Regions from separate parts of the Mus musculus genome. Here all the other regions are reported to be linked to region 2. Evidence: microRNA targets listed by miRTarBase, many of them from high-throughput screens and not tested one by one. Region 2 holds a microRNA gene; each other region holds the end of a gene's coding sequence.
Evidence for each region. The annotated mature microRNA mmu-miR-5125 reads UCUGCCUGGGAUUUCCUUGU and lies in region 2 at 4,360-4,379, shown strand. An mRNA with a match to its seed (bases 2 to 7 or 8) in the 3' UTR can be bound and repressed. Matches are read on the target gene's strand: a 7mer-m8 pairs with bases 2 to 8, a 7mer-A1 pairs with bases 2 to 7 and ends in A, and an 8mer does both.

Region 1: the mRNA of Samd8 is a reported target of mmu-miR-5125. Seed matches in the 3' UTR shown: 7mer-A1 at 1,956-1,962, 7mer-m8 at 2,486-2,492 and 7mer-A1 at 4,759-4,765.
Region 3: the mRNA of Slc23a1 is a reported target of mmu-miR-5125. Seed matches in the 3' UTR shown: 7mer-A1 at 5,267-5,273 and 7mer-A1 at 5,273-5,279.
Region 4: miRTarBase lists Kif5b as a target of mmu-miR-5125. Seed matches in the 3' UTR shown: 8mer at 1,626-1,633, 7mer-A1 at 1,620-1,626 and 7mer-A1 at 772-778.

Annotation. Positions count from the first base shown.
Region 1 is chr14:21,792,022-21,799,426 of GRCm38, forward strand. It overlaps Samd8 (sterile alpha motif domain containing 8), which reads left to right. Exons shown (of 6, transcript NM_026283.3): 5 at 383-533; 6 at 916-6,705. The coding sequence ends at 1,220. Among named protein-coding and RNA genes, the nearest start is that of Gm23502, 17 kb to the right of the region's middle.
Region 2 is chr17:23,818,980-23,826,317 of GRCm38, forward strand. Mir5125 (microRNA 5125) reads left to right here and starts at 4,312; the gene lies at 4,312-4,390. It overlaps Srrm2 (serine/arginine repetitive matrix 2), which reads left to right. Exons shown (of 15, transcript NM_001368687.1): 11 at 1-2,711; 12 at 3,434-3,721; 13 at 4,812-4,925; 14 at 5,037-5,141; 15 at 5,237-5,762. The coding sequence ends at 5,246. Elob (elongin B) reads right to left here. Exons shown (of 4, transcript NM_026305.2): 4 at 5,761-6,000. The coding sequence ends at 5,888.
Region 3 is chr18:35,612,938-35,620,342 of GRCm38, reverse strand. It overlaps Slc23a1 (solute carrier family 23 (nucleobase transporters), member 1), which reads left to right. Exons shown (of 15, transcript NM_011397.4): 14 at 691-955; 15 at 4,656-5,739. The coding sequence ends at 938. It overlaps Paip2 (polyadenylate-binding protein-interacting protein 2), which reads right to left. Exons shown (of 4, transcript NM_026420.3): 3 at 6,841-7,020; 4 at 3,157-4,144. The coding sequence ends at 4,088. Among named protein-coding and RNA genes, the nearest start is that of Slc23a1, 11 kb to the left of the region's middle.
Region 4 is chr18:6,201,551-6,208,955 of GRCm38, forward strand. Kif5b (kinesin family member 5B) reads right to left here. Exons shown (of 26, transcript NM_008448.3): 25 at 6,637-6,785; 26 at 1-2,157. The coding sequence ends at 6,655. Among named protein-coding and RNA genes, the nearest start is that of Gm41664, 30 kb to the right of the region's middle.

The DNA.
Region 1 (7,405 bases), not on the chromosome of region 2:
ATGCGGTCTCTCTGTGCAACCCTGGTTGCCCTGGTTGTCGATATGTAGACCAGGCTGACCTCAAGCTCACAAAGATAGATATACTGGCCTCTGCCTCTGAGGTGTTGGTATATGAACATACGCTGTACGCCTGCCTTGACCTTTTTACTTTAAAGGAACTACTGTAAAGGAGTTTGAATTAGGATGATTTCATTTAATTAGCATTTTCTAAGTACAGTCAAGCTCTGGTAATTCTCTGGGCCCACCTTGAATTAGCTGAGTTAGACCAGTTGCCTTTACCTGGATGCTCTTATTTCTGAATCATGAATTGCCTGAAATGGATTTGGGCAAGCTCTGAGCCTCAGTAAGCATTTGAAGAACTAACTCACAGCGTTCTTTGTAGATATATGGAAGTGTGTGGGAGAAACTACGACGGGCATTTGCCATCTGGAGCGGCTTTGGAATGACTCTGACTGGCGTCCACACTTGTGGAGACTACATGTTCAGTGGCCACACAGTTGTTCTAACCATGCTGAATTTCTTTGTCACAGAGTGTAAGTATATCTTTAATGCTCCTATGCATATTAGATAGCTTGTTGCAGAGAAGGAACTAGGGAGGAAGTGAGAAAGAATAGGCGGCTGGGGTGGAATGCAACTCAGTCTGGAGTGCTTGCCTGCCACATGTGAAGCCCCAGGTTTGATCCCCAGCACCACATAAAGCTAGGTGTGACGGCAGATGCCTGTAGATCCTAGTTCAAGTTCATCCTCAGCTACACATCCAGGTCAGCAGCCTGGGCCACATGAGACAGAGCTGAAATAAAGGGTGTGGGGCAGAGGTTAGGGGAGCAGAAGCTTAGAGCCTACCCTGAGAAACGTGGCTAAGAAGCTTGGCAGGAATGTGTTATTAAATAAATGGTCCTTCTGTCCTTTTCCTAGATACACCAAGAAGCTGGAATTTCTTGCACACTCTATCCTGGGTTCTCAACCTCTTTGGAATCTTCTTCATCTTGGCTGCCCATGAACATTATTCCATTGATGTGTTTATTGCCTTTTATATCACAACAAGACTCTTTTTGTACTACCATACTCTGGCTAACACCAGAGCGTATCATCAGAGTAGGAGAGCGAGGATTTGGTTCCCTATGTTTTCTTTCTTTGAATGCAATGTTAATGGCACAGTACCTAATGAATATTGTTGGCCATTTTCTAAACCAGCAATAATGAAAAGACTAATTGGATGAAGACTCTCTCTCTGTAATGAGTTTGTTGTTAAATATACAGTAGTTATGGAATGAAAATGAATACTTTGTCCCAGGCTCCTGGATACGTTGCATTTGGCTTCTGTGTTGACAGGTTTCCCGTTCTGAGAAAGGCCGTGACTGTAAAACTCAAGAAAGAACACACAAGACTCCTTATTAGCTGTTTGAATGGAGAGGTCATGGAAAGAGTTTCCGCCCCTCACTGTAGGAAGACCCAGCGTGGGGTGATGTCAGGCCGATACCTGTGCATGCTGAGTGTTTGCTTACGGAACTCAAGCACATCAGCTTGGGCTGGTTGAAGAATTGTTACTGATTCCCAGTAGGACTCAAGTCAAGAATATTTCTGAAGCTGGCTTTCCTTACCTAGTGAGCCGTTCTCATGTGTTCATTGAACTAATCTGTGTCTGTCTGCAAAGTGAGTGTCTTACTGGTAAATATGTTTTACCTTTTGAGCCATTTGAAAGAAAAACACATTGAACACAGCAGAAACAAAAGAATGCGGGGGGCACCGTGTGAGGTGACACGCTCGCTGATCAGGTGTCGCCGGCCTCCCACTAATGCAGGGGTCAGCATTTCAGAGCAGGTGCAGCGTCAGTTGCTGTCCCTTTCTGTTCGGAAGCTTCAGTGTGAACAACAGAAAGGGCTCCTGAGGGGAGGTGGCTGTGTTCCTGTAGTGCTGTAAGTCCCCGGACTAAATACTTGTTGTAACTGTTAGTTAGGCAGATGACAGCCCAATATACTGCTTTTTAATAATGTGACTTAAGTGAACACATGAGTGTTTTACCAGATGTTAGAGTTCTTACATCAGTGAGTGAGTAAATGTGCATGCAGAGAATTCTTTTCTTCTGGAAAAAAACAAAACAGAACAGAACAAGCTGTAGGCGCAGTGCTAATTCTCGGGGTGGGGGTGGGGGTGGGGTCCTCTTTTTGTTGTTGTTTTTCCCTGAAAGTTCTCATTCCCGACCATGGAAAGTACACAGTCTGAGACATGGGTGGATAGAAAAAGGCTTCTTACTTTTTATTTTAAAAAAATTATATACATATGTTCTTTCTAGAGTCTTAATTTGGCAGTTAAGAACTAAATACTTTAGCTGCTGTTTACCTTCAGTAATTACTGTCACCTCTCCGATACCATTTGTCACTTTATTTTCTATTGGTTGTACATAACAGTTTTAACCTGGTTGTAGAATTGGAATACTAATTGTATAGTCTTTACGTTCCATTTTCAAACAAGGACTCAAGAGCTGCAGGCAGGCGCACTGCAGTCTCACGCAGGCCACAGCCGGCGTTTATTCCTCTGTCTCGGCGGCTGAATGGTCATTTTTGCAGTTGGAGTCATAGTCCCACCTCTTGGAAGCCACTGAGTGGATTAGGCAGGAAGGGGGTTTGTCTAATAGACAAACGGGCCTCCCCCGTGCTGAGAACCCCTGCTCTGAGGAGGCTGGAGACAGCGCTCATTTCTCACCTGAGAGATGAGGTAAAGCAATCAAAATCAAGTTCAATTATGTTTTTAAATCTTGTACTTCAAAATCCTTGCAGTATTTTAAATTATTGATTCTATTACAAGCCAGGATCAAAAACGCCAATATCTTATCTAAAGAAACGTCCTAATCCTGGAGAAAAGGTTTGCTATGCTTGTTTGAGTAGCTTGACTTAGGGCCAAGGGATATATTACTGCCACCCCCTCTTATTACTCCCCTGCCCCCCACAGAGCAGGATCCAATTTACCTGGGGGGAGGGGGAGAGACAGTGTTGGCTTTTGGGAAAATGTTCCAAAAATGCGTGTCTACATTAGTTTTAAGATGCTAACTATATTAATGGTAAATATCTTAACATCAGGCTTCTCTCCTCCATATGGGTTCTATCATAGAACACAATAGGAAACAGGTGCAGCTGGCGTTGCCCTTGCCAAGCTATTGATGGTGAGAGTGCCTGACAGCAGCCTGCTGTACGGATTGAGTGGCCTTGGGTCACTCCTGTTTGTTTGGAGGAAAAAGATAAGCTAGATGTATAGCCTAGTAGCTACTATAAGACAGTGTTTACAGAGCTAATCCTCTTCAAGTCTCAAAACTGAGACAACATTAGTTTTCAGGTTTTGTCCTCACATCTTTTTCCTTACTAAAACCTAACCATAATGAAGATAGAATTTATGTTTACATTTTGGGCATGATGTGGCTGCGTGCAGTCTCCACGCTTTTGAACCCCGTATTTGATTCTGCAGTCGTGTGAGACTTTTCTCCTTGACAGCTTAGTACAGAAGCAAGGAAAGGTTTTGAGTTCTTGGGGGTGCAAAGGAAGAATTGCCTACATTCTAATCCCAGTGTCGCTGCCCTCCCTGTGGTGTTAAGCCCAGGGCTGTGTGTGCGAGGCAAGTGCTCTCGGCTTTTACAGTGCAAACAGGATCTACTGAAAGGTAGACATGCTGGGTGGAAAGGAACGAGCTCCTATGGAACATAAGCTTGCTCTCACCACCACATAGTTTTGGCAGAAACCTTTGTGTTACACTTCCCAACGAGGCCAGAGTTGCTGTGGCAAAAATAACCTTTCTAAAGCAATGGGCTTCATCTTAGAACCAGTCAATTTAAATAACGTGAGCTGTAACCAAGAAAACCCACACTTCCAATAGCGTAACATTGACACTGTAAGTGGTGACCAGCCCCATTCTACCTGCCTGTTAGGACTGAGAATTCCAAAACTCTGTAAGTTATAAGTGGGGAACAGGGGTGCTGGATCCTTCTATAGCAGAGAGCAAGTAGTCTTTCAGGAACATTTGTGCAAAAGTGTTTGGTTGTTTGTTGGGGGGGGGGGGTTCTTTGTTTTTGTTTTTGTTTTATTTTGTTTTGTTTTTTCAGAGACAGGGTTTCTCTAATTCAGGGATCACCTGTCTTTGCCTCCCATGCTGGGATTAAAGGTGTACACCACCACACACATCTTTTTGTAAAACTTAATTCGTATAAATTCAGATTTGTGGCAAAAATGTATCTTCTTTATATTCAGCAAAAAGAAATTTTATCATTGAAAGATTCTAGATCCAAAATGCTTAACAATGTTTACAATATTCTTGACTTAAACTCTCTGATTTAGTACACTCAATTATTTGATGGTCTTGTGGATAGAAATCCCATAGCAAAAGCAGACAGTATAGTCGCCCTCTCAGCTGACAGACTTAGGAGACAAGAACGGTCTTTAGAATAGTCCACTTGCTTTCCTTCAGACAGCGTGAAAGCAGAAAGCATGTCAGGGGTTTTTGTTGTTGTTTTTTTGTTTTCTTTTTTTTTTTTTTTTTTTTGGTTTGGTTTGGTTTGGGTTTTTTGTTATTGTTGGTTGTGGGTTTTGTTTTTGTTTTCATTTTAAACAAGCTTATGTAAATAAGATGCTTGACTTGAAGGGAAAACTATCTAAGATCATTTTGTTCAAGAGTAATTTATTCCCTAAAGACATGTAACAGCTTCAAAAAAAATATAAAAATTGTCCTTGAAGCTGGGCATGGTGGAGCACGCCTTTAATCCCAGCACTTGGTAGGCAGAGGCAGGCGGATTTCTGAGTTCAAGGCCAGCCTGGTCTACAGAGTGAGTTCCAGGACAGCCAAGGCTACACAGAGAAACCCTGTCTCAAAAAACCAAAAAAAAAAAAAAATTGTCCTTGGTTTTGCAATGATAAATGAAAATCATTAAAATTCTCCAATTGAACAAGGCATGCAAGGATTTGGTGGTGTTGTGTTCTTTTGTTAAAACAATGAGAGCAAAATAACTTACTGAAATATAAAGATGAGAGCTGAATGAGCATGCCACCAATGGAGAAGGGGTATTTTCACAGACCCAGTACTTTCCCCCAGACCATCTCCATCTGATGCCAACCAGAACAGAACATTGGCCATTTCGTTTAAAAAAAGGAAAAGAAAGAGAGAGCACTATGCGTGTGCACATACACCAGTTACTTTTTGTACAATAAAGAAATGGGGACAGGGAAATGAAAGAAGAGAAAACTATACTGTGTAGTCAGGATGTGGCGGGACCAAACTGTGGCTTTTTAATTGAGAATGTATTCTTGGTCTATAACAAATTCTGGAGTAAAGTAGCAGGCTCCCTTTTTAAGTAGACACCTCCAGTCTGCTGCTGGAACACATACATCGATCTTTATTCTCCACTGATTGGTTGCCCATCGAACCGGAATCTGATCTGCCTCATTGACAAACCCTGCCGTTCACAATAGGCTTTCATTAGTTTACTAAGTGGTATATGCCTCTTAACCTTACACTGCACCACAGAACCATCCTGTCCCGCCACCTTCAAATTAATATGATCATTGTTCTCAGTCTTGACTCCTTCCTTGGGTTTCTCGTCAGCCATGGCAAGTGCAGGAGTCTCCTTGTGGCCTTCGCTGTCCTGGAACTCAGACATTTTTCTGCCTCTGTCTTTGCCTCTGCCTCTGCCTCCCAAGTTGCTGGGATTAAAGGCAAGCATCACCACTTACTGCCTAGCAAGCATGTCAGGGTTTTTTTTTGTTTTGTTTTTGTTTGTTTTTTTGAGACAGGGTTTCTCTGTATAGCCCTGACTGTCCTGAAACTCACAAGCATATCAGGTTTAATGGCAACTTTACATAACAGTTTGTGTTTATTAAAAAGTGAGATTAGTCCCAGTCACCCCTATTACCTCTGCAGCTGAGGATTAAAGTACCATCAGAGATGCTTCAGGCTACTGGATGGAAAGAGAAAGGGTTTTGTTTGTTTGTTCTCCTTATGAATAGCTTTAAATGACTAAAATTACTGTAAAAGTAGGTGTTGGTTTGCCTGTAGATTCAGTGGCACTGATTTTACATAACTAATATGATGAATTACTGTATCAAGTTCAGTACAAAGGTCTGTGAACTCTAAGCTATTTCTCCAGCTACACTAAGTTGTTTTTGAGGATACATTCTACACTGTGTTAATCAAAGGACTCTTTATTCTGTGAATTTCCCATCTTGGCATAAGGAAGCTTTGTGCTTTGATGGGAGAAGGAATATTCTATTGTTTGTTTTCTTTTTTCCATTGTTACTTCACATCTCTTTTAATCTGAACTAGTGGATTGTCTGAAGAACCAAACCGAGCCTATTGTTATTAACATCTTTAAAATGTTTAATTTTAATAATTTTTCATTGAATTCATGGATTGTTGGGATAATGAAGTATTTGTGATGTGGAACAAAGGAAATGAAATTGGTACTCAGTGGGGAAGCAGGTTGCTTGGACTAAGCCAGGCATGTTCAGTTTTGAGAATTCTACCTAAAGGTCTCCCTGCCCACAGAGAAACTAGTGTTACTTGAAGACATGAAAATCCCTGTGGTAGCCAGACCTTGAAGCACAGTGTTGTAATAAGTAAATACCTGATTCTAAATTAAATTCAGATTTAACTAATATATATTATTTTATAACTTTGTTGTATTAAAATGTTTTAAACACTAAAAAATAAAGCATTTGAAAGTTGGTATGTGGCTTGTTATAACCCTTGCACTATTAACATAGTGCGCCTTTATGTCTCAGACAGAGTCTTGCTGTGTGTGGTCTGCTCTCAAGCCTGTGTGCCTCCTGCCTTTGACTTGCTGTCCTCCTGCACCAGCCTCCGTGTTAGAATGGCAGGGTTTTTTCCCCAAATGGTTAAACACTGCAGCTTTAGGAAGGAAAATGGGAGGGAAGGAAGAAAAGAATTTAAATTGCATTTCACAGTACACACATGGAGGTCAGTAGACAACTCTGGTCACTGTTGTGTCTCAGGGGTTGAACTGGAGTTGTCAGGATTGGTGGTAGCCCTGTGCATTTACCTATTGTGTATTTACCTACAAACACTTACTATGCATTTACTGCTGCACAGCAGCTTTAAAGCTGTAGGGTGTAATGTGTGGCATTTACTAACTCTCAGGTAATTGTCTGTTTCACGATAGGAAGCTGAGCAGAGGAAAGGCTGGCAGAGAGCACGTGTCTAGCATGTGTGAGGCCTTGGTTTGATCATCAGCACAAAAAAGAAACAGACAGACAGTTGAAAATGGAGGTAAGAAGATTAGAATTCAAGGCCTGCTTTTGCTGCATAGCAAGTTGGAGGTCATCCAGAGCTTTATGAGACCCCAGATCTTAAATACAAGATGTACACTTATCCCAGTACTTCAGAGATGGTGCTAAGAGGAGGACCAGGG
Region 2 (7,338 bases):
AGGTCCTCAATAGAGCCAAAGACAAAGTCTCACACACCACCTCGACGCCGGAGCTCTCGATCATCTCCTGAGCTAACCAGGAAGGCTAGAGTCTCTCGTAGAAGCCGGTCTGCCTCCTCATCACCAGAAATCCGCTCCAGAACTCCACCAAGACGCAGAAGAAGTCCTTCAGTATCTTCACCAGAGCCAACTGAAAAGTCAAGGTCTTCACGGAGGAGGCGCTCAGTTTCTTCTCCCCGTACCAAGACAACTTCGAGGAGAGGACGGTCTCCTTCACCCAAACCTCGTGGACTCCAAAGATCCCGATCCCGCTCACGGAGAGAGAAAACCAGAACAACCCGACGCAGAGATAGATCTGGATCATCTCAGTCAACATCTCGAAGAAGACAGAGGAGCCGGTCTAGATCACGAGTTACTCGGAGACGGAGGGGTGGCTCTGGTTACCATTCAAGATCACCTACCAGACAGGAGAGTTCTCGAACCTCCTCTAGACGCAGAAGAGGCCGCTCCCGGACACCCTTGACCAGTCGGAAGCGATCTCGATCAAGAACATCACCAGCTCCTTGGAAGCGCTCTAGATCTCGAGCCTCACCAGCTACTCATCGGCGGTCCAGGTCCAGAACACCACTGATAAGCCGACGTAGGTCCAGATCTCGGACCTCACCTGTGAGTAGGAGACGGTCAAGGTCAGTGAATAGGCGTAGATCTCGATCAAGAGCATCCCCAGTGAGTCGAAGGCGATCCAGGTCCAGAACACCACCAGTAACTCGTCGTCGTTCAAGATCCAGAACACCAACTCGCCGTCGTTCTCGTTCTAGGACTCCTCCAGTGACTCGCAGAAGGTCCAGATCCAGGACTCCACCAGTAACCAGGAGGCGATCTAGAAGCAGAACTTCACCTGTTACTAGAAGAAGATCAAGATCCAGGACATCCCCAGTCACCCGGAGAAGATCGAGATCTCGAACATCTCCAGTCACCCGGAGGCGGTCCCGTTCCCGAACCTCTCCAGTGACAAGACGACGCTCCAGGTCTCGAACTCCGCCAGCAATTCGAAGACGATCTAGGTCTCGGACACCACTGTTGCCACGCAAGCGCTCTCGAAGCCGCTCACCACTTGCTATCCGCCGCCGTTCTAGGTCTCGTACTCCTAGGGCAGCTCGAGGCAAGCGGTCCTTAACAAGATCTCCTCCAGCCATTCGTAGGCGGTCTGCATCTGGAAGTAGTTCTGATCGTTCACGTTCTGCCACTCCTCCAGCAACAAGGAATCATTCTGGATCTCGGACACCTCCTGTAGCACTCAGTAGCTCTAGAATGAGTTGCTTTAGCCGTCCTAGCATGTCACCAACTCCTCTTGACCGATGTAGATCACCTGGAATGCTTGAACCCCTTGGAAGCGCTAGAACGCCCATGTCTGTGCTACAGCAAACAGGTGGCTCCATGATGGATGGTCCAGGTCCTCGGATTCCTGATCACCCAAGATCATCTGTTCCAGAAAACCATGCTCAGTCTAGAATTGCACTTGCCTTGACAGCCATCAGTCTTGGTACTGCCCGGCCACCTCCATCCATGTCTGCTGCTGGCCTTGCTGCAAGAATGTCCCAGGTTCCAGCACCTGTACCTCTCATGAGCCTTAGAACAGCCCCAGCTGCTAACCTTGCCAGCAGGATTCCAGCAGCATCTGCAGCAGCTATGAACCTTGCTAGTGCCAGGACATCTGCTATTCCGGCATCTGTGAACCTTGCTGACTCAAGAACACCAGCTGCTGCTGCAGCTATGAACTTAGCCAGCCCTAGAACAGCAGTGGCTCCTTCAGCTGTGAACCTTGCAGATCCTCGAACCCCTGCAGCTTCAGCTGTGAACCTAGCAGGAGCTAGAACACCAGCTGCATTAGCAGCTTTGAGTCTCACAGGCTCTGGGACACCTCCAACTGCTGCAAATTACCCCTCCAGTTCCAGAACACCCCAGGCTCCAACCCCCGCAAACCTGGTGGTGGGTCCTCGATCTGCGCATGGCACAGCTCCTGTGAATATTGCTGGCTCTAGAACCCCTGCAGGCTTGGCTCCCACAAATCTCTCCAGTTCCAGGATGGCTCCAGCATTGTCTGGTGCAAACCTCACCAGTCCCAGGGTGCCCCTTTCTGCTTATGATCGTGTTAGTGGCAGAACCTCACCTTTAATGCTTGATCGAGCCAGGTCCAGAACACCACCATCTGCCCCAAGCCAGTCTAGAATGACCTCTGAGCGTGAGCGGGCTCCTTCCCCTGCTTCAAGAATGGTTCAGGCTTCTTCGCAATCTCTTCTCCCTCCTGCACAGGATCGGCCTCGGTCCCCTGTGCCATCTGCTTTTTCAGACCAATCTCGTTCAGTTGTCCAGACCACTCCTGTAGCAGGGTCTCAGTCCCTTTCATCCGGGACAGTAGCGAAGTCCACATCCTCTGCTAGTGACCACAATGGCATGCTTTCTGGCCCTGCCCCTGGGATATCCCATGCTGAAGGTGGGGAGCCACCTGCCTCTACTGGGGCCCAGCAGCCTTCTACATTGGCTGCTCTGCAACCAGCTAAGGAACGTCGGAGCTCTTCCTCCTCTTCATCATCATCTAGCTCCTCCTCCTCTTCATCATCTTCATCGTCATCCTCCTCTTCCTCTGGCTCCAGTTCTAGTGATTCAGAGGGTTCCAGCCTTCCAGCTCAACCTGAGGTGGCACTGAAAAGGTGAGGCAATTAAGGGATCTAGGGAGCAGGGACTTAACAATGGGTGGGTGAGTAGGGAGGGAGAAATCTTGTCAAAAGCACTTGGCTTTGAGAAAGTATGGGGGACCTTGGCCTTCAAGCTGGGAGTAGAAAGAATGTTGGGCGGGGGCTTTGTGGGGAGGAATGGGACAGATAAAAGTCTCCAAAGGTTAATTCTCCAGAGGATAATGATAAGTTTTCCATCTCTACAGAGGACAGAACTAGAGGAAATGGACTTAATTTTACAGCAGGAGGGATGGCAGTTAGACCTCAAGAGGAACTCCCTGGGCTGGAAGGATCTTCAGAGGTCATCCCATCCCTCTCCCTGCCTCCAGGCAGGACGGCCCCTCCCCAGCCAACCTGCACTCACAGGGGCCTCCCCAAGCTGCGGCTCTCCAAGGAAGGAGATCACCCAGCTTCAGCTTCCACATCTGAGTCCAGGGGCCTTAATCCTTCATCAGGGACATTCTTGAGGTTTAACCTTGATCCCTTGTGCTTCGGGCCCCAGCCTGTTGCTTGTGTTAGCAGAGGTTTGGTCAGCTCTGTGCCACTGCTCCAGAGAAGTACTACTCACTGGCCTGCCTTCGTGTTTTCCCAGGGCTTTTCTCAGGCACCCCTCCCCCACTGCCGTTCCTCCAGGCCAAGGAAGGTAGGGTTGGGGTTGGGGCATCTTGTCTCCTTGTGACACCTTTCTTCTCTCACAGGGTTCCCAGCCCCACCCCAGTCCCAAAGGAGGCTATTAGAGAGGGACGTCCTCAGGAACCAACCCCGGCCAAAAGGAAGAGGCGCTCTAGCAGCTCCAGTTCCAGCTCCTCCTCCTCCTCCTCTTCCTCTTCTTCCTCTTCCTCCTCCTCCTCATCTTCCTCCTCCTCTTCTTCCTCTTCTTCCTCCTCTTCTTCCTCCTCTTCCTCCTCCCCCTCCCCTGCTAAGCCTGGCCCTCAGGCATTACCCAAACCTGCAAGCCCCAAGAAGCCACCCCCTGGCGAGAGGAGGTGAGTGCTTTCTTGCCTGTTGTGGAAGGGGGGTTGGGGTGAGTTCTCCAGAAAGGGGACCCTGGGTGAGGTTCCTGCTGGGGTGCCTCGTGTGGACGTCTGTGACTGGTTGTACGGGAGAAGGAGTGCCGGACTCCTCCCATCCTCCCACAGTGTTGTATTCTGGTCAAGGGCTGCACTATCTAACTGAGGTGTCCCAGGCCATATCTGGGAAGTCATAGGATTCTTCCTCCCTCTCCCCTCCCCTGACAAGCAGCCTGGTCTCAGAGATCTAGCTCTAAGTCTCCCCATTGCTGCTGCAGGGCTCTGGTCTGGCCACCGTCATCTTCTCCCGACTCTGTCCACAGCCTCCTCCCTGTCTCCCTGCCTCCACGCCATTCTCTTCCACACGTAGCCAGAGGGATCTTTCTAAAACGCACATCTGGTTACTTCCCTTCACTCCACAAATCCTTCCGGAACGCCCTGTGGCCTGCAGGATAAAGTGCCACCTCTGCGGGAATGGCGTGTGAGGCTCTTCACCAGCTGCCCTTGCCCGCCCTGTGCTCCTCCTGCCCGCCCCCACACATGCCCCGTGCTCCGGCCATACCCAGCGCCTTGCAGTCTAAGGAGAGCCCCATGCCTTTGGACATGCTGTTCCTTCTGCCTGGGATTTCCTTGTCTGCCTGGTGAACTCGTTCTGCAAGACTGCATTCAAACAGCACCTCCGAGAAGACTGCCCTGCCATTTCCCTGTCCTGCCCAGGTCCCCATCCTTTCTCTGGATCCCCAGGCCCATGCATATCCATCCTGCTGGGCTGTTTCCTATGTAGGGGGCGTGTGTGCCTTCATTGTTAACCTTTACTACCAAACAAAATTCTTCCAAGGGCAGGGACTCTTTTATCTTTGCATCCCCCGCTGCACCCTGTGCCCTGTCCACTGGGGTACTCGGTGGATGGTGTGCGGGCGGATGGGTGAGTGCGGACAAAGGTGGGTCTGAGGCTGGCCCTGTGTGGTGTGAGGTTTGGTGGTCAGGACCTGGGTGGGTGGTCCTGAATGCTTGGCTGGTGGGTTTGGGAGGATGTGGAGCTATAGAGGCCTACTCTGCTTCCTAGGTCTCGAAGTCCTCGGAAGCCAATAGACTCCCTTCGGGATTCCCGATCCCTCAGTTACTCACCCGTTGAGCGTCGACAGCCCTCGCCCCAACCTTCACCAAGGGATCTACAGAGGTAGGGCCTATAGCAGGTGCTAGCAACCTGACTCAACTAGCTACCATTAATTTGTAAGCAAAATTTAAAAGTTTTTGGTATTGTTCTGTGACCTAATTTCTCCTCTTGTAGCAGTGAGCGAGTTTCCTGGAGAGGCCAGCGAGGGGACAGTCACTCTCCTGGTCACAAGAGGAAGGAGACACCTAGTCCCCGTTCTAATCGTCACCGCTCCTCCAGGTGTGTCTCCTTGGAAGTCTGGCCCTTCTGAGAGCTAGTAGTTAGGGATAGGGATATGTGTGGTGACCCAGAATGACCAGTCTTCTCTATTCCAGGTCTCCATAATCTGGATTCCACTACACCTCATACTCTGGAGACATGAGTATTCCTCATTTTTCCCAGAAGAATCATGGAAGGAGTCTTTGTATGCCTTCCCTTGAACCTTGGCAGCATCTTGAGGGGAGAGCGTCCTCTCCCACCCACCCTTTTTTTTTTTTTTTTTTTTTTTGGTTCCTGTGAAATGTTGATCTCTGTGAGTTTTTCCTGGTTCTTGTGTTTTGGGGGTTGGAGTGGGAGGGAGGGAGTCTAGGGAGGGAGGGGCACAGCTCAGGACATCTAGGCCTCAGATTGTGATGATCCAGGGAGTTAGCTCCCTAAATTCTTGGGTGACTGATGGTTTAACTTGGTAAGTTGTAATCTTTCCTGAAAGAGGAAGGAGCTGAAGTTGGTTGGCCCTGCTGCACCCCCTTACAAGGTTGTGAGGCCCTCTCCCCCCCAACTTTGTTTAAGGCATTTTGGTTTTTTAAAATCTGTACAGTAAAAGCAACTTTTTCTGTCAAATAAAAATGAGAAATGCAGTAATTGGTCTGTAGTCTTTACTTGGGGTTAAGAGTTCTGTGAACAAGAGGGAACAGAAAAGTCAATCAGGTAGACAGCCAAATTTTTTTTATTGGGGAAATGGGTCTCTAGGGGGTAGGCCTAGGCCCTCACTGCACAGCTTGTTCATTGGCACTGCCTCCAGAATCCTGTGGCTTCATCACATCTGGAAGCTCTGGAGGGCTGGAAAAGGGCTCGATGCGGAGAGCTTCGAAGGTGTCATCTGGGGAAGGGGTATAGAAGATTCTCAGCGTTTCCATTCATTGACTTGTATCAACCATCAAGGCCATAACCCTCCCCACCTTGGTTGCCTGACTTGGCAATGGTATGATGACTTCTGTCCTCAGAGGCCTAACTTTGCCTCTGACCCCATTACATGTCATTGATAAAGACCCCCAACCCCCAGCTTTGTGCTTGTCTGGCAAGTATCAACCTCAGAATTCTTTAATCCTGGTTTCCAGTGTCCACAGTCAGTACAAAACATGAACTCCACTTTCTATCTTTTCTCCTGTTTGTGTCCACCTAGAAATTCCTTACCTGGCCCTCAATGCTACTGGTTGGTAAAATTAGTAAGGAAGACGGCAAAGAGCTGGGGTTTGATCAAGAAAGAAGTCAAGGATGTAGATGTGCTTTCTATTAAGAGCAAAGGTTTAGAAACTGACCATCAGCCAAGTGGTGGTGGTCCACGCCTTTAATCTTAGCACTTGGCTGGGCAGCTAAGGTTACACAAACTTCTGGGGGTTGGGGGAGAATGAATTCTCATTCCTGTTACTGGTCTAGTTAAAACGCCATTTGCCAAACCTTCCTAATAGCCTTCAGCCTTCAGTATGGACATTTGAGTGGCAGCAGCAGTGAAAGCAACCTAATTAGGTCCAGAAACCTAATGCTGTCAGCTGCTTCCAGAAGTGCTTCTGCAAATCCTGCCATTAACACATTCCATTGGCCTGAGGGGTAATAAAGCCTCTGGTCCAGTCTTGCCCATATCTAATGCCATATCAGGAGTTGTGTGCCCTTAGCTTTGACATAACAACCTAACTTAGCTTACGCAGACAAGCTGTATTTTAGCCACAGGAACCCACGCAAAAGGGGATCTATCTGGCCCGTGTATCTTCACCAGCCCTATAAGTGCCTCATTGCTGACTCACAGGCTACTAGTTACCTTGGAGCAGATACCTCCCAGGATATTTATCGTGATAAAAGGATATTTGCAGCAAGCCCTTGGGGGGGGGGGGGCTATGGAGATGGAAATTCCAGGCTGGGTGGGGCAGGGACAATCGGCTATGCATAAGGATATATAGCTTGGTGAGCTGAGGTTTACTTTACAAAAACTAAAAAGGATAATTTACACTTCTATTTCTTTTCCCATCTTAGCCTCTTTCTAGAGTATGTATATGGGCTTTCATGTATGTATGTATGTGTGCCAATGAAGGCCAAAGGCACTGATTTTCTGGAACCGAAATGAACAGTTGTAAACTACCATGTGGGTACTGGGAACTGAACCCAGGTCCCCTGCAAGAGCCAGTATTCTTAATTGCTGAGCCATTTTTCTACATTTTATTCC
Region 3 (7,405 bases), not on the chromosome of region 2:
TTGCTTAGCCTGGCTTTCATCCATGCTATAAAAATGGTTTATGCCCCAAATTTAGAACTGTAATAATGAATCCTAACACTGATAAAGTATTTCAAGGTCTATGTCCTCAGGCAGGTCGGATAACTCGGCAGGAAAAGGTACTTGCTGAACCTGGTCGGAGTTCAATGCCCAGGGCCCATATGATGGAGCAAGAGAACCTACTTCCTGTGCTTATCCTAAGACCTCCTCACTCTCATGGTTCCATAAATTCTACATAAACAATAAATGTGATAAAAAAAATTTAAAAACGTACCCTATTCAGAGGTACAGCCTGGGCACTATCTAGGTCCCATGAAGCAACCACACACTAGCCCCATATTCAGACAGACAGTGTAAAATGACTTAGCTTGTTTCTTCACCTTAAAATTTTGTGCCTATGCACCTCCCAGGGGTGTTCAGAAATAATGAAATTATTTAGCACAGGACTTGATGCTACAGTTAAGTAGTATTAATCTTTTAAGGTTTCTCAGAGCTCTGGCAAGTAAGGCATGCAGAGTGGTAGAGTGCTTATCTAGCAGGCAAAACTGCCCTGGGCTCCATTCTGACTAGGCAAATTCATACTTGATTCTAGAAACATGCCTTAGGACTGGCTATGTGCAGGAAAGATAACAGGGTTTTATCCTCCTAGATGACCTCACTGTCCTCTTGCAGGGAGCCCAGAGGAAAGAGGCCTGATACAGTGGAAGGCTGGAGCCCACGCCAACAGTGAGACGTCAGCCAGTCTCAAGAGCTACGATTTCCCCTTTGGGATGGGCATGGTAAAAAGGACCACCTTTTTCAGATACATCCCCATCTGCCCAGTCTTCAGAGGATTTTCTAAAAAGACACAAAATCAGCCTCCAGTTCTAGAAGACACTCCAGACAATATAGAAACTGGGTCTGTGTGTACCAAGGTCTGAAGCCACCTCAATGAAAGGTAGGACATGATATGGTTCTTGTGGGAGGTTGAATAATCAAACATCTGTTTAAACAAAAAGAAAAAAAAAAAATCAAACTAGCATTTTTGTAATCGGTTACAAGTTTCTTCAAGGGGAGATTAGGCAGGGTAAAAAGTCCTTTGGATCTGGGTAGAATTTCTTAGCCATGTTACAGTGAGAGCCATAGATGGTCACAAGTAAGCGGGATTATCAATCCTACCAGATACAGGCAACATCTAGACCAACTAGAGTCTAAGAGCAGTCACTGCCAGCCTGATCTCTCTGTGTATGCATGCATGCATGCTTCTCAAGTACTGGCATTAGCACAATCAGCTCACCCTTCGCCAATTCATGATCCTTCTATTCATAGACTCTCTCAAAGTGAAGGAACTAAAAAGTATGTATTCTATGTACATTAGTGCACATCATGTGCTTGTCTGGTGCCCACAGAGGTCACAGGAAAGCACAGGATCCTCTGGATGGCTGTGAACCACCATGTGGGTATTAGAAAACCAAACCCGAGCCCTTTGCCAGAGCAACAAGTGCTCTTATCTACTGAGCCATCTCTCCAGCCCTTCAAACGAAGGAATTATAGGTGTGTATTACCATTACCATACCTAAGTAATATCTTTGAGACTGGAAAGGTTGGAAACACCAGCAGTGCCATAAACAGGAGAGATCCTTCTACATGTTATTTTGTTTCAATGTTAGTAGTCATAAAATTTCAATCACTTACAGTTCAGTTACCAGAAACCTGCTAATACAAGCCTATAAGGGGGTAATCATTTATCTTTAAGCTTCAAAACATGTGGGCAGCTCTAAATCCTAGTTTTGCCTATAATGGAGACACTTGGCTCTAGTTAATTCAAATATTTTCCCTCTCAAACAAGAAACATTCTAGTGAAAGTTGTGAGTGGTGGCTTAACCCTGTTAATGCCTGCTCTAAGGAGTCAGGCATGAGATCGAAGCTAGCTTGAGTAGTACCCCTTGCACACTTGATACTGAGCAGTTAGAGAACAAAAGGACTGAAAGTGTTATCTCCCAACCCCCAAGTGCCAAGCATGCCTGTCTTTTCTAGAGTTTCTTAAAAAACTTGCCTGTGGCCAGGTGTAGTGGCACACATTTAATCCCAGGACTTGGGAGGCAGAGGCAGGCAGATTTCTGTGATGTGAAGCCAGCCCGCCCTACACAGTAAGCTCCAGGACAGCCAGTGCTATGGAGACCTTGTTTCAAAAACCAAACCAAACCAAAAACCAGGAACAGGACCTTCCAGAGGACCTTGGTTCAATTCCCGGCACCTATGTGGCAGCTCACAGTTGTCTGAAACTCCAATCCTAGGGGCTCCGATATCCTGTTCTGGCCTCTCTGGCTACCAGGCTTGAAAGGGATACACAGACATACCTGCAGACAATAGTCACTTATCTAATAATAAAAAAAGAAAATGAAAACACTTGCTTCTTCATTAGTTTAAGGTAACTGTTTTTAAAAAGTAAAAAGACTTTTGGCAGCACATGGTGGCATAATCCCAGCAGAGGCATATAATCAAGGCCAGCCTGGACTATAGAACAAGTTCCAGGACCGTGAGAAGTACATAGAAAAACCTGGACTTGGAAAAACGAAACAAAACAAACAAAAGACCCTTCCTGGATGAAGTTGACCAGAACAGTGGTTGGTTAGCATGCAGAAAATAGCTGAAGTTCAACCTCTAGCACCACGGACAAAAACCAAGCCAAACCAAATGAACACCTTAAAAGCTTTTCAGAAAGAATGAGCCAGAAATAACCATACAAAAGAGCAAGGCAGTCCCAGCACCCAGGAACTTGAGGTAGGAGGATCCTAAGTTCAAAGCTGGCCTTGGCTATTTAGCAATACACTGTTCTCAAATACAATAAATGGCTACATGGCCTGCAGCTCTAGCACATCAAGAAACATTTATGCTGCTGCACATACTAAGCAAGTGCTCCGCCATTAACAGATATCCCCAGACCAACCACAGCTTTCTACCATGGCTGGCTAAGATTGCTGACAGTGCAGTCTTGGGCAAGGGCAAGTCAAACACTTGACAGACACCTGCTTGGCTACTGTGGACTGGAGTACACCTTCCTGTCAGCACACCTCACACACAGGGCTGCCCAGTGCCCACACTAGGCGAGCACCAACGCTGGAGTCTGTTGTCTGCACCAATAACACAAGCACCAGCTCGGTTCTACTATCATTTATTTTTTTTTAAATATTTTTGAAAAAATATAATTTTTTTACAATATTTTCAACTTAAACACTATTCACACTGAACACGTATGGCAGCTTAACCTACTCAAATATGAAGTTTAAGAAGCCAAAACTGTTCTAGCTTTGTTAAAAGAAAAGTTGTGCTGCAGACTATAGTCATGATGGTTAACAAAGCAAGGAAGAGCACCAGAGTCATGCTACCGTCTTTTGAGTGCTTCAGTTGGATTATGGGCTGGTGTGGGTCCTGTGTTAGACTTCACACATGATGGCGATGATGCAATCAATCTTCAGAAGATGCAAGCCTCAAACTGTATTTCCTCAAGATTAACACTGGGAGAACTCAGTATTCCTAACATGATAATACACCAGGCAAAAGCCAGACTAGCTCCTATCTGACCATCACCTTGTAACCTCAAAGACATTCTTGTGAAATTACTTACTTCAAAATTTAACAGATTTTCTCCAGAAGAGGTTATTTTTGATGGACAAATGCAACTGAGAAATCTGTTTAACAATCAGAACCTAATTTAAATTTATACAAAGTGTAGACATTAAAACGTGTCAACTAACCCTTAAGGGACCAGTTTAGCCTCAAAGACAGACAATTCAATGAGATTTGGAGGTGATTTAATTTGGTTCTTTGTCACAGTTGACTGGTGCTTCTCCCATTGCTGTCTTTACATTAAGCCACGTGGCCAATTCTACTTTCAGTAATTGTGTGACAGCTCCTTACTTAGTAACAGTCTCAGCACTTTTATTAAGCATGCAAGACTAACAAAAACTTTGGCAATGCGTAAGTGTAACACAGTGACGAGAGCTTTTACAATGGAGTCTTCTAACACTGCCTTCCCAGTGTGGAAACTGTGCTACATCCACCAAAAGCGGCCGGCTGCTCAGACATGTCAGTACTTCACCCCAGGAACAAACTCCTTTGCATTGGGATTCAGATTGCTCTTGACCTGAAAAATCATATATTAAAAGAAAAAGAAAAGAAAAAGCAAGTTCATTACAGATGACTGTGATTTCTCAGAAGTATTCAACCTAGACCTTTATGTAAAAATTATCTCCCAGAAAAATACAAAAGGTTGAACTCTATCTAAGGTTCTTCCTACCCCCAAACTCATGGCAGAGAAAGAATGTCATCTGGCTGGCCACAAACTCACGGAGACCCACCAGCCAATGTGCCTCCTAAGTGCTGGGACTGAAGGTCTGCACCTCCTAGCCTCTACATCCTATTAAGTATAACAAGAAACGCACTAACCTCACTTAAGCTATAAGAAATAGCATGAAATAAGGTATTTTCTTTTTCCAAGTGTGCCTGATGCTCTGAAAATACTTCCAAACATGTTAAATACATGTTCTCAGTCTGATTAACTGGGGCATTGTTGGCTATTAGGGAATTTTATTTAAGATTTTCACTGAAAACTTGGGGGTTATCTCTCTACAACTGCTGTTTTCTAATTCCCATAGGAGGCACTGTGTGTAACAGGAAAAGAAAACTACATAGGAGACAGAAGACCTGAGTTGGAGATCTCAGCTCTACCTATTCAAAATTCCCATGGAAGCTTGAACAGATCACCCTCTCTGTGACTCTGTTTCCATGTCAGCCCAAGTCTCCAAGTACTCTAAGAGACCTGGACTGCATTCCTCTGTCTCATTTCCACTTCCCTAAACATGAAGTCAATATAAAGAAGAAGAACTGAAGATCCTCTATGCTGAGTGTTGATAAAAAAGAAACCTGGAGATATTCCAGGGGTAGATGAAGACAGGAAGATTAAAAAACAAAAAACCAAAACCAAACCAAACAAACAAACACACCCCTGAATTCCAATGCCATGTATTTTAAGACCAAAACATAATATTAAATGACATACTGGACCAATAATTTAAAAAAGTTTAGATAAGTGTTCTCCCTTCACATAGGGGAAATAAATCTATACTTTCAGACTAGCTCAGTGATTAAAATGTCTATTTAGAATGTTCTAGGCCTGGGCTTGACCTTCAACATTAAATATACAGAAATAAAAACCCTTAAAAGAAAGAAAAAGTGCCGGGCAGTGGTGGCTCCTGGCACTCTGTGGAGGCAGAGGCAGAGGCAGGTGGATTTCTGAGTTTGAGGCCATCCTGGTCTACAGAGTGAGTTCCAGGACAGCCAGGGCTACACAGAGAAATCCTGTCTCAAAAAAACCAAAAAGTAAGAAAAGCAAGCATGGTTTAATTGTTAAAAAAATAAAAACAGGGCTGGTGAGATGGCTCAGTGGGTAAGAGCACCCGACTGCTCTTCCGAAGGTCCAGAGTTCAAATCCCAGCAACCACATGGTGACTCACAACCACCCGAAATGAGATCTGATGCCCTCGTCTGGTGTGTCTGAGGACAGCTACGGTGGGTGTACTTACATATAATAAATAAATAAATCTTTAAAAAAAATAAAAAAATAAAAATAAAAACAATCAAAAACAAAAAAAGGGCAGAATTCTTGAATATGTAATCTTCTGGAAACTAGAGAAGTCTAAAAATGAATTAAAGTAATCTCGAAAAGTTTGAGTCAAGCAATTCAGTTTCTGTGTTATGGATTTATGCAAATCTAGTCTATACATTAAGCCTTTATTCAAAGCACTAGTAGTATGTGAAATGACTAAAGTAGCAGTAGGCAAATATGTCCCAAGAGACCAGATCAGACACCTATTCAGTTCAGTCACAGTCATTTACTGCAAAGGGTCTGCCACAATGTGGATTCTGGTGTTTTCTGTATTGTTTTTTAGCAGCAGAATGTTTTTCAAAAGCTTGATGTGGAGGAGAACTGTAAAGTATACTTTGGGATGCTTAAACTGAGTATTCAAGTTTAGGTGATTATGATGAACAGCTTAGTAAACTAATCCATAATAAACAGAAGCTACGAATTCTAGGTCTCAGCAGTGTGGGGAAGAGGATTGCTCATGATTGAGGCTAATCAAGGCATTGAGTTGCAGGTTTGAACTAGAGTGAAACTCTGTTTCAACTACCCACCAACTACATCAAGCAAAAAAAATCTTTTATCTTAATTTTAGTAAAAAGATTCCCTGGGGCTGGAGAGATGGCTCAATGGTTAAAAGCACCAACTGCTCTTCCAGAGGTCCTGAGTTCAAATCTCAGTAACCACATGGTGGCTCACAACCATCTGTAACTGAATCTGATGCCCTCTTCTGGTGTGTCTGAAGACATCTACAATGTACTCATATACATAAAATAAATAAATCTTAAAATAAAAAAAAGGGCTCCTCAAGTTCTACATTAGCAATGATGTAAAATTTTATTACAAGCACATTACCAGTGACAAGACTGAGAAATAAGAATATGAACCTAGGTTTATATTCTTTTTCTGCCAAGAGCTTATAAATGTATCTCAAAGAAACTCAATCAGGAGATCTTAGATTTTTCTTTTTTTTGAGACAGGGTTTCTCTGTGTAGCCCTGGCTGTCCTGGCACTCACTTTGTAGACCAGGCTGGCCTTGAACTCAGAAATCCACCTGCCTCTGCCTCCCAAGTGCTGGGATTAAAGGCGTGCGCCACCACGCCCAGCTCTAAAACATCTTAAAGAGAAAGCAGGTTGATTTTTCACTTAAGGGAGATGAGGTAGGGTCTAAAAAAAGAAAAAGATGAGAAATGGCTTTTTACCACAAGATCTTCCAGAGAAGAGCCATCACTGATAACAAGGTCATTAAACTGGTCTTGGATTTGGTCCATAGTTTGTGGGAGATCTCGAGCTGGAATAAACCATTCATGTTCTTCTTCCTCTTCCAGCATTTCTTGGAAACAGCGTTCAATAAATTCTTCTTCCCACAACTCCTCTTCTATCTAGATTTATAACAAAAGAGGTTTATTATAGCATACGGCTTAAAATATCTTAAACTATGCCATCTGAAATCATAATGTAAGGGCCAGGTAAGGTAGTGCATGCCTTTAATCCCAAAACCCAGGAGGCAGGCAGGAGGTATCTGAAAGTCTAAGGCCAGCCAAGGCTATACAGTGAGACTCTGTCTTAGCAGAACAGAACCAAATTAAACCGTAACGTGCCTGGCTGTGTGGTTTAAAACCATCATCTCCACACTTGAAGAATAAGATAAAATGATTACCACAAATTCTAGGGCAGCCGGTGACACAGTCTGATGAGTTTGTCTCTCAAATGTTCTCTCTCTCTCTTTTTTTTTTAAGATTTATTTATTATTATATCTAAGCACAC
Region 4 (7,405 bases), not on the chromosome of region 2:
AAAAAAACTAACAATGTGTTTTCTTAACAACATGCTAGTTACAATTCATTGTGTGTTATACAAGCACCGATACCCATGATACATCTTAAAACTTCTATACTCAGACAAAGGAGAATTTTTTTTCCATTATGAAAACTGCCAGAAAAGCAAATTTTCATTTGGAACGAATGTCCTTTAGATGCAGCCAGATGCCTCGCAGAGACAGCGATGAGCACAGGAGCCATACACGTCACTAACCACGACTTACACCTCGCTGCATCACGCTCTCTTCAATTTGTGGAGTGCTTCTTTCAATCATAAAAGCAACACAATCATTAAAGGCTGCAGACTACAACAGCAAAGATTTTGACTGTTAAAAAAATAAATAAATTTATTTTTCAAATCAAAATTATTATAAAAGTGGAAATTACAATAGTTAAGGAAATAGAAAAATAAGCCAATTATGATCTGAGTCTTCTGACTATGGCTCCAAATTTAATAATACAAATATCTGTATATAAAACTTTTCCAAAGATTCTGCCAGCCAGATTCTAACCCAGAACTTCAAAAGCTTGTCTACTTATCAAAGATCCCCAGACACTGCATTTCCTGTGGGTCTTTGCTTCCGGCTACAGCTGCCCCAAGCACTGAGGATGCAGGTGCTGAGACCCTTCCTGTCACTTTTTTTTTTTTTTTTTGGTTTTTCGAGACAAGGTTTCTCTGTGTAGCCCTGGCTGTCTTGGAACTCACTTTGTAGACCAGGCTGGCCTCGAACTCAGAAATCCGCCTGCCTCTGCCTCCCAAGTGCTGGGATTAAAGGTGTGCGCCACCACACCCGGTCTTCCTGTCACTTTTATAGATCCTTAAAATATACTTGATTGAGCTTAATTATTTGAAAAATAAGTGCCAAAAATAGGTACACACTTAGTTCTAATTTAAAAATTATTCACTATGGCCAACAATATTTTTTTGAGAATTACTAGTGACTTGCAAACAGTTTACTATTTCTAACTAAACAAATTATAGTGTATGATTTAGTATAACAGGTGAAAACCACCTATAGGATTTCAGAGCAAAATTAACCATGTAGTTTTAAATTTATACTTCATCTGTCCTGTTCACAATTTTTTTCTCATTTTTCAGAGGCTATAAATTTATCAGTCAATACAATTATTTAACATTTGAAAATTATTTAATTCTATAATGTCTTAGTCCACTTATTTCCTAATATTAAAGATGACATTAGCTCTGCTCAATTCTTACTTTAGCAGGAAGATATAACAGAACAAAGCAGAGCACATTAAGCTATGTTTAAGTGCAGAAGTAGAAAGAAGGGGTATAGTACTTCCAAATCCATTTAACATGAGATCCATTTTTGATATGTAAGATATTTGTATTCAAAAGGCATCTCATGAGCTAATGATATAATAGAAAGAGCCTGTTCAGTCTCGAACTCCTGGTCTCAAAGCTCAACGTTTTCAGAGGCAAGCTTCAGAGACTATACCAGCAACATATCAAGGGATTTTTAAATTTATTTTTAAGTTAATTTTTTATTTTTTGATTTATTTTTGAGACAGGGTCTCCCTATATAGCCCTGGCTGTCCTGGAAAGCAGGCTGAACTCAAGCTGACAGCCATCCATCTGCCTCTGCCTGGGAGTAGAGATGCGTGCCACCATACCTTGCTTGAGGGATTTTTAAAATACAGTACTGACTGACCTGATATATTTTGTGGCAAGTAGTGTTATAAGTAGTAAAATTTAAGACATTTAATCTAAATGTTCCATATTTCCTTTAAAAAAAAAAGACATTTTAGTAGAAAAGGGAAAATGAAAAGCAATAGCAGCTATGTAATGTAAACCAAGATTACACACTCACAGAAAGGCAAATCAAGGAGCAGAGTCCCTCAACACAGTTACTCAGCACAGTGAAGACACGAAGGACACACCGTGTAACAAACAGGGCCGCAGTTGTAAACTGTCGTTTCCCTTCTAGGACATCAACATTGCACTCTAGTGTTGGGAAGCAGCAGAGTTTACAAGAGTGGGTAGGAAACAGCTGTACAGGGTAGGAGTAATTTACACATTAAAAAATTAAATTTCTACAATCCCAAGGAATAGAGGTTAGTTAGTGAAAGACTGATTTTATGTCCTCTTCAAACTTCAATTACTTTTCAACACCTGAAATAGGAAAAAAGCAGAGAAAATTTTAGTTCTTATAAAACTCATGTTTGAAATAAAGAACAAGATAGGAATGATTTAATTTCTTTAAAAAATGTTTTAATTAGATTTTATGTTCATCATACCACATGTGGTATGACATCATACCACATGATTGCCTGGTGCCCATGGAGTACAGAAGAGGAATTCCCTGGAACTAGAAACTGGAGTTATGGGTCACTCTAAGTCACTATGTGGATAATAGGAAGCAAACTCCGGTCCTCCGCAAAAGAGCAAGTGCTTTCCAATGTACATCTCTCCAGCTCCTGGTTGCTTTCTTTTACTTTTCTGTCTTCTAACTTGAACTATTTATGAGCAGAACAATGTTTACAAGGTCAGCCCATCATTTTTTTCATCCCTAGTTAATAAAGCCATATGTGGGTTGATATATGAATTATTTTGTTTAATAACAAAACAGGGCTGCACATGATGGCCCAAACTTGTAGCCCTAGCAGCATTTGGGAGCAGGAGGCTTACCATGGGAAGAATGAAGGAGTGATGGGGGAAAGCAGGCTTGTCAATCTTTAAACAGAAAACATGGCGTTCTTAAGTTAAGGACCACTACTTAGCAGCGATTAGTGGCAAATAGTGTGTCTTAGATAAAATCAGGGAAGTGCTGGGAGATGGACTCCCAGAACCCACAGAAGCAAGGATGGATAGGAGCGCGTGCTTGTGACCCTTCTATCTGCAGGATGGGGACTGAAAACAAGACAGTATCTGGAAGCTGCAGGATAGTTAGAACGGGAAGTGCAGAAGAGATCCCGTCTCAAACAAGGTGAAAAGCAAGGATTGACACCCAGTGTTGACCTATAACTTCCACAAATAAGCCGTGGCACTTGTGGGCCTACAGACATAACCTAATACACACACACATCTTTAGGTTGGACTTAGTAATAAAGCCATGTGACAGAAGAGAGGCTATGTAAAACTGGAAACAAAAGTCATTAAACATTATTAATAACTATCACCACTGCCCTAAATCCATGTTTTCCTCAACATTTAAAAAGTAATTTTAAAAAGTATCTTCAGGGAGTTTAACTTTTCAAGTTTATCAGCCACCCATCACAGTTTAAGATACAGTGATCTAAGAAATGAAAAGGCTCAGGGGATGCTGAGCATGTGTGTCAGAGTGCATGCTGCTCTGGCAGAGGACCTCAGTTCAGTGCCCACACTAGGAGGTGCACTGCTGCCTGCAATTCAGTTCCAGGGGGAATGATGTCTCTGGCTTCTGTGGGCATGACACATAAATCATTTTAAAAAGTAATAAAAATAAGTTTAAAAATTAAATAAAAATTGAGTATCCTTTGATTCAGCAGTATAACAATTACACTTCATAAGTACACTTTTCACTCCTTCCCATGTGCTAAACATCATCACTATGTAGATGATACTAGATGTATTTAAGAGGCCACGTTCTTCTCTATTCAAATAAAGTATGAGTTCAAGATTTACACATGAATTTTAACATAAAAACATCTGGAGAAACCAACTTCTGAGCTCTAAAACTCTCTCCTCTAGGAAGGCAGAGGAGCAGCTTCTTTTTAGTGCAAGCTCGGTGCTAAGTGATGATGTCCTAACTCACGTAATTCTCAAGAACTGTTTCCAACTTACCAATAAAGGAGGCTAACAGTTCAACATGGGCAGAGACAGGATATGGACTCTCTGTGTATGTGTCTGTCTGTCTGTGAGGGGTGCATTTCTCAGTGTAGGAACATCAACTAATCTATCTCCTGTGTCACTCAAGCAAAAATGCTTACATTATGGCCATAGTGACCCACAACTTTAATTCCGGCACCCAGGAAGCAAAGGCAGGTGGATCTCTGTTGAGTTCAGGCTTACATAGCAGGCTCCAGGCAAGCCAAAGTATACAATGAGAACCTGACTCAAAAAAGAAAAAAGAAAATCCCACAAAAAAAACACAAAACAACCCCCCCCCCCCAAACACACTAAATCAGTCTACATCGGGTAAAGGAATATGGCAGCTACACACATAATTAAATACACCCAGAAGGAGGTAGCATACATTTGTGATACTGGATGTCTTTGGTAGGTCACTGTCCCTAGATATGTTCTAGATTAAAAGAAACTTAAAAAAGTCCTAGATCATGCCTTGGTTTAGAAAACTTAAGATACACAGGATATTAATAAGAAATAGAGAAGAGCTAAGAGGTACAGCTCAGTGGCTTGAGCCTTGACTAGCAGGTACAAAGCCATGGCACACAGAGGCACAAGAGGAAGATCCAAATTCGGATATGAGATATTACACTTATTAATGTTAGATGTGATTATTATTATTAAAGCTGCACAAATAACCTATTTTTCATGAATGTATAATTTATTTTTATAGTGAATTCTAAGAGGATTCAGAGGAGAATGAGTTAAGTTTCCACGTGTGTGCAGTGTGTACACGTACGTATAGAGGCTGGAGAGCAGTCATCTGCTTCACCATTATATTTTTTAACACAGAGTATTTTACTGACCCCAGAACCCTCTGAGTTCCAGAGACTCCCCCTCCCTAGATCTGGGTTTATAGATAGATGTCTTCTTCCCCGTCTGACTTCTCCATGTGCGCCAAGCCAGACTCAGGTCCTCAGGCTTCTGTGGCAGCTGGAACTCACTCACTTGGCAGATGGAAGCATCTCCCCAGCCCAGAGAGAACAGACTTTAGCAAGCTGCTTTGTTCAAGTTCATGAACGCAGCAGAGCTGGAATGATACTCAGAACGTTCAATCCCAGGCACTTTTTCTCTCTCCCTTAAACCTTTCACTAGACAGAACAAACAAAATATTACATTTTTAACCTCTCCAGATTGCTGGTTTAATTTCTACTCAAAACAGTCCTATGTACAAAGTATCAAAGCCAAGCAAAATTAAAATAAACCAACCTTAGGATTTCTCAGAAACAGTAAGAGCTAACCATCTCATAATTATTTAGTATTTTAAATTTTCAGCATTTCTGTGGGATTTCTATAGTTAATCAGACTTCTGGAATATGTCATAAACTATAGACAGCCATTTACTGGTGAATGTGATATAGAACAAAGTGTTCAGTGTATTACTACATTAAAAAGAAAGCTATCAAGTACCACATGGGGAATAGGTATAGTATGTTAGTTCCACAACTTTTAAATGTGAAGTTATAGTAGTATATAAAGAAAGCCCTCAAATGACATTCGTTATCTTCCTGCCAGAAACAGATGACAAGCCTGCATTTCACCCCAGGGCCCCATAGTGTGGAAAGAGAACACATTCTTAAAGTGCCCTCTAATTTCCACACATCCCGCACCCACACAGGCACACCTGTGCACACACCAAAGAGGGGGAGTTCAGAAACCTATTAGGAAAATCAACTTGTAGGAGCTGGATAACTCAGAATTTAAGAGCACTGGGTCCTCTTCCAGAGGACAGGGGTTCAATTTCTAGCACCAAAATGGCAGTTCACTTCTGTCTATAACTCCAGTCTCAGGGATCCAACACTCTCTTCTGGGCCACAGGGGCACTATATGCATGTGGTATACAGATATACATGCAGGCAAAATACTCTCACATAAAATTAAAAAAGAGAAAAATCAGCTCCCAATAGGTGATTGAAAACGGGTAAGTGTTTAAAAGGGAAATGTAAAGGGAGTGTGTATGCATGTAAACCGGCTTCCTCCAGGCCACCCAGGGTAGACTATTTTGGGCCTATCAAATTAGAAGCAAAAACTAATAATCAATGGTGGCAAGGATACAACCAAATGCTAATTTTTATTAAGATGCAATTTTAGGCTGTCTTTCTAGAAAGTAACTGTAAGATCCTTAAAAACATTCAAACTGTAAAATCCCAGTTTTGGGAATCTTCTCATAATAATCTAAAGGATGAGGGAGTATATAAGATACTTCATATTTCAAATGTCATTTATAGAAGCAAAATTAGAACAAAATTAATGTACTTTATTATGTTTCTAGTAAAGGTAATATTATAAACCAGGGCATACCCATTGTGTAGGATACAAAAAATTATTATAAATGATCCAATCCAAGTTTTAAAATTAGTAACAAAACTAAACATAGATTATCTGTAGCATGAAATAGACCATAAGAAATCATGCCAAGGGCTGGTGAGATGGCTCAGTGGGTAAGAGCACCCGACTGCTCTTCCAAAGGTCAGGAGTTCAAATCCCAGCAACCACATGGTGGCTCACAACCATCCGTAACGAGATCTGACTCCCTCTTCTGGAGTGTCTGAGGACAGCTACAGTGTACTTACAATAAATAAATAAATAAATAAATCTTTAAAAAAAAAAAAAAAAAAAAGAAATCATGCCAAGTTGCATTTATAAAACAACACATATTAAAAAAAAAAAAAAATCCTGATCCTACTGTGAAACTCGAATCCTAAGCTAAGTAGCTCAGTATTTCCACACACAGTTAAAACTCAAAAGTCAGGCACAGACTCACACCTGCAATGTGTCAAGTGTTTACGACTGCTTGCCTCCACCACCACGAAGCCCCACTGGCTGGTTGTTCTGAACAAATGAGCCTCCTCCACGAACTGTGCCCGGGTGAGTTGGCGAGGCCGCTGGATGCTGTCCAGGACGGATCGGCTTTGCTGTGAAACAGAAAGAAGGTCAGAGTCAGAAGGTGTGACAGTGACAGCAGTGACTCCTTAGGTCTCTCCCTATTCACTAACCATTCCTCAGTGTTTAGTGAATTAACTTCTTGTGTTTTCCTTTCTAGATATCTCTTACTTGGTTATCTCCTATTCTCCAGAAACAATATAATAATCTCTTGCCTCTAATAATCTTTCAAAATATTTGCTATTTTGTTAAATTTTGAAGTAGAGCCTCTCTATGTAGTCCTGGTTGTCCTGGAACTCTACATGGACGGGACTAGGCTAGAACTCACAGATGGATACTTTTCAGAGGCAGCTCTCTCTCCACTGTGGGATGTAGGGATCAAACATGAGCCACCAAGTTTGCATAGCAAGTTCTTTCTCCTACATGCTCCCATAATCCCTTTTCTACACCAGTGATTGTTCTGAAAGCCTTTGGTGGTGTTTCCCTGGACAGTGTCTCCTAGCCTTCACTTGTCTAGTTATTTAGTTACCTGTCAAGTGACCGTGGCTCTCTCTCAGTTTCTATTTTCTTTCCCAACAGTATCACTCTTCAGGAATTTAGAAAATAAAGACAGGAACACCACCATGGCAAAGTGTGATAAAGGAGATGATGT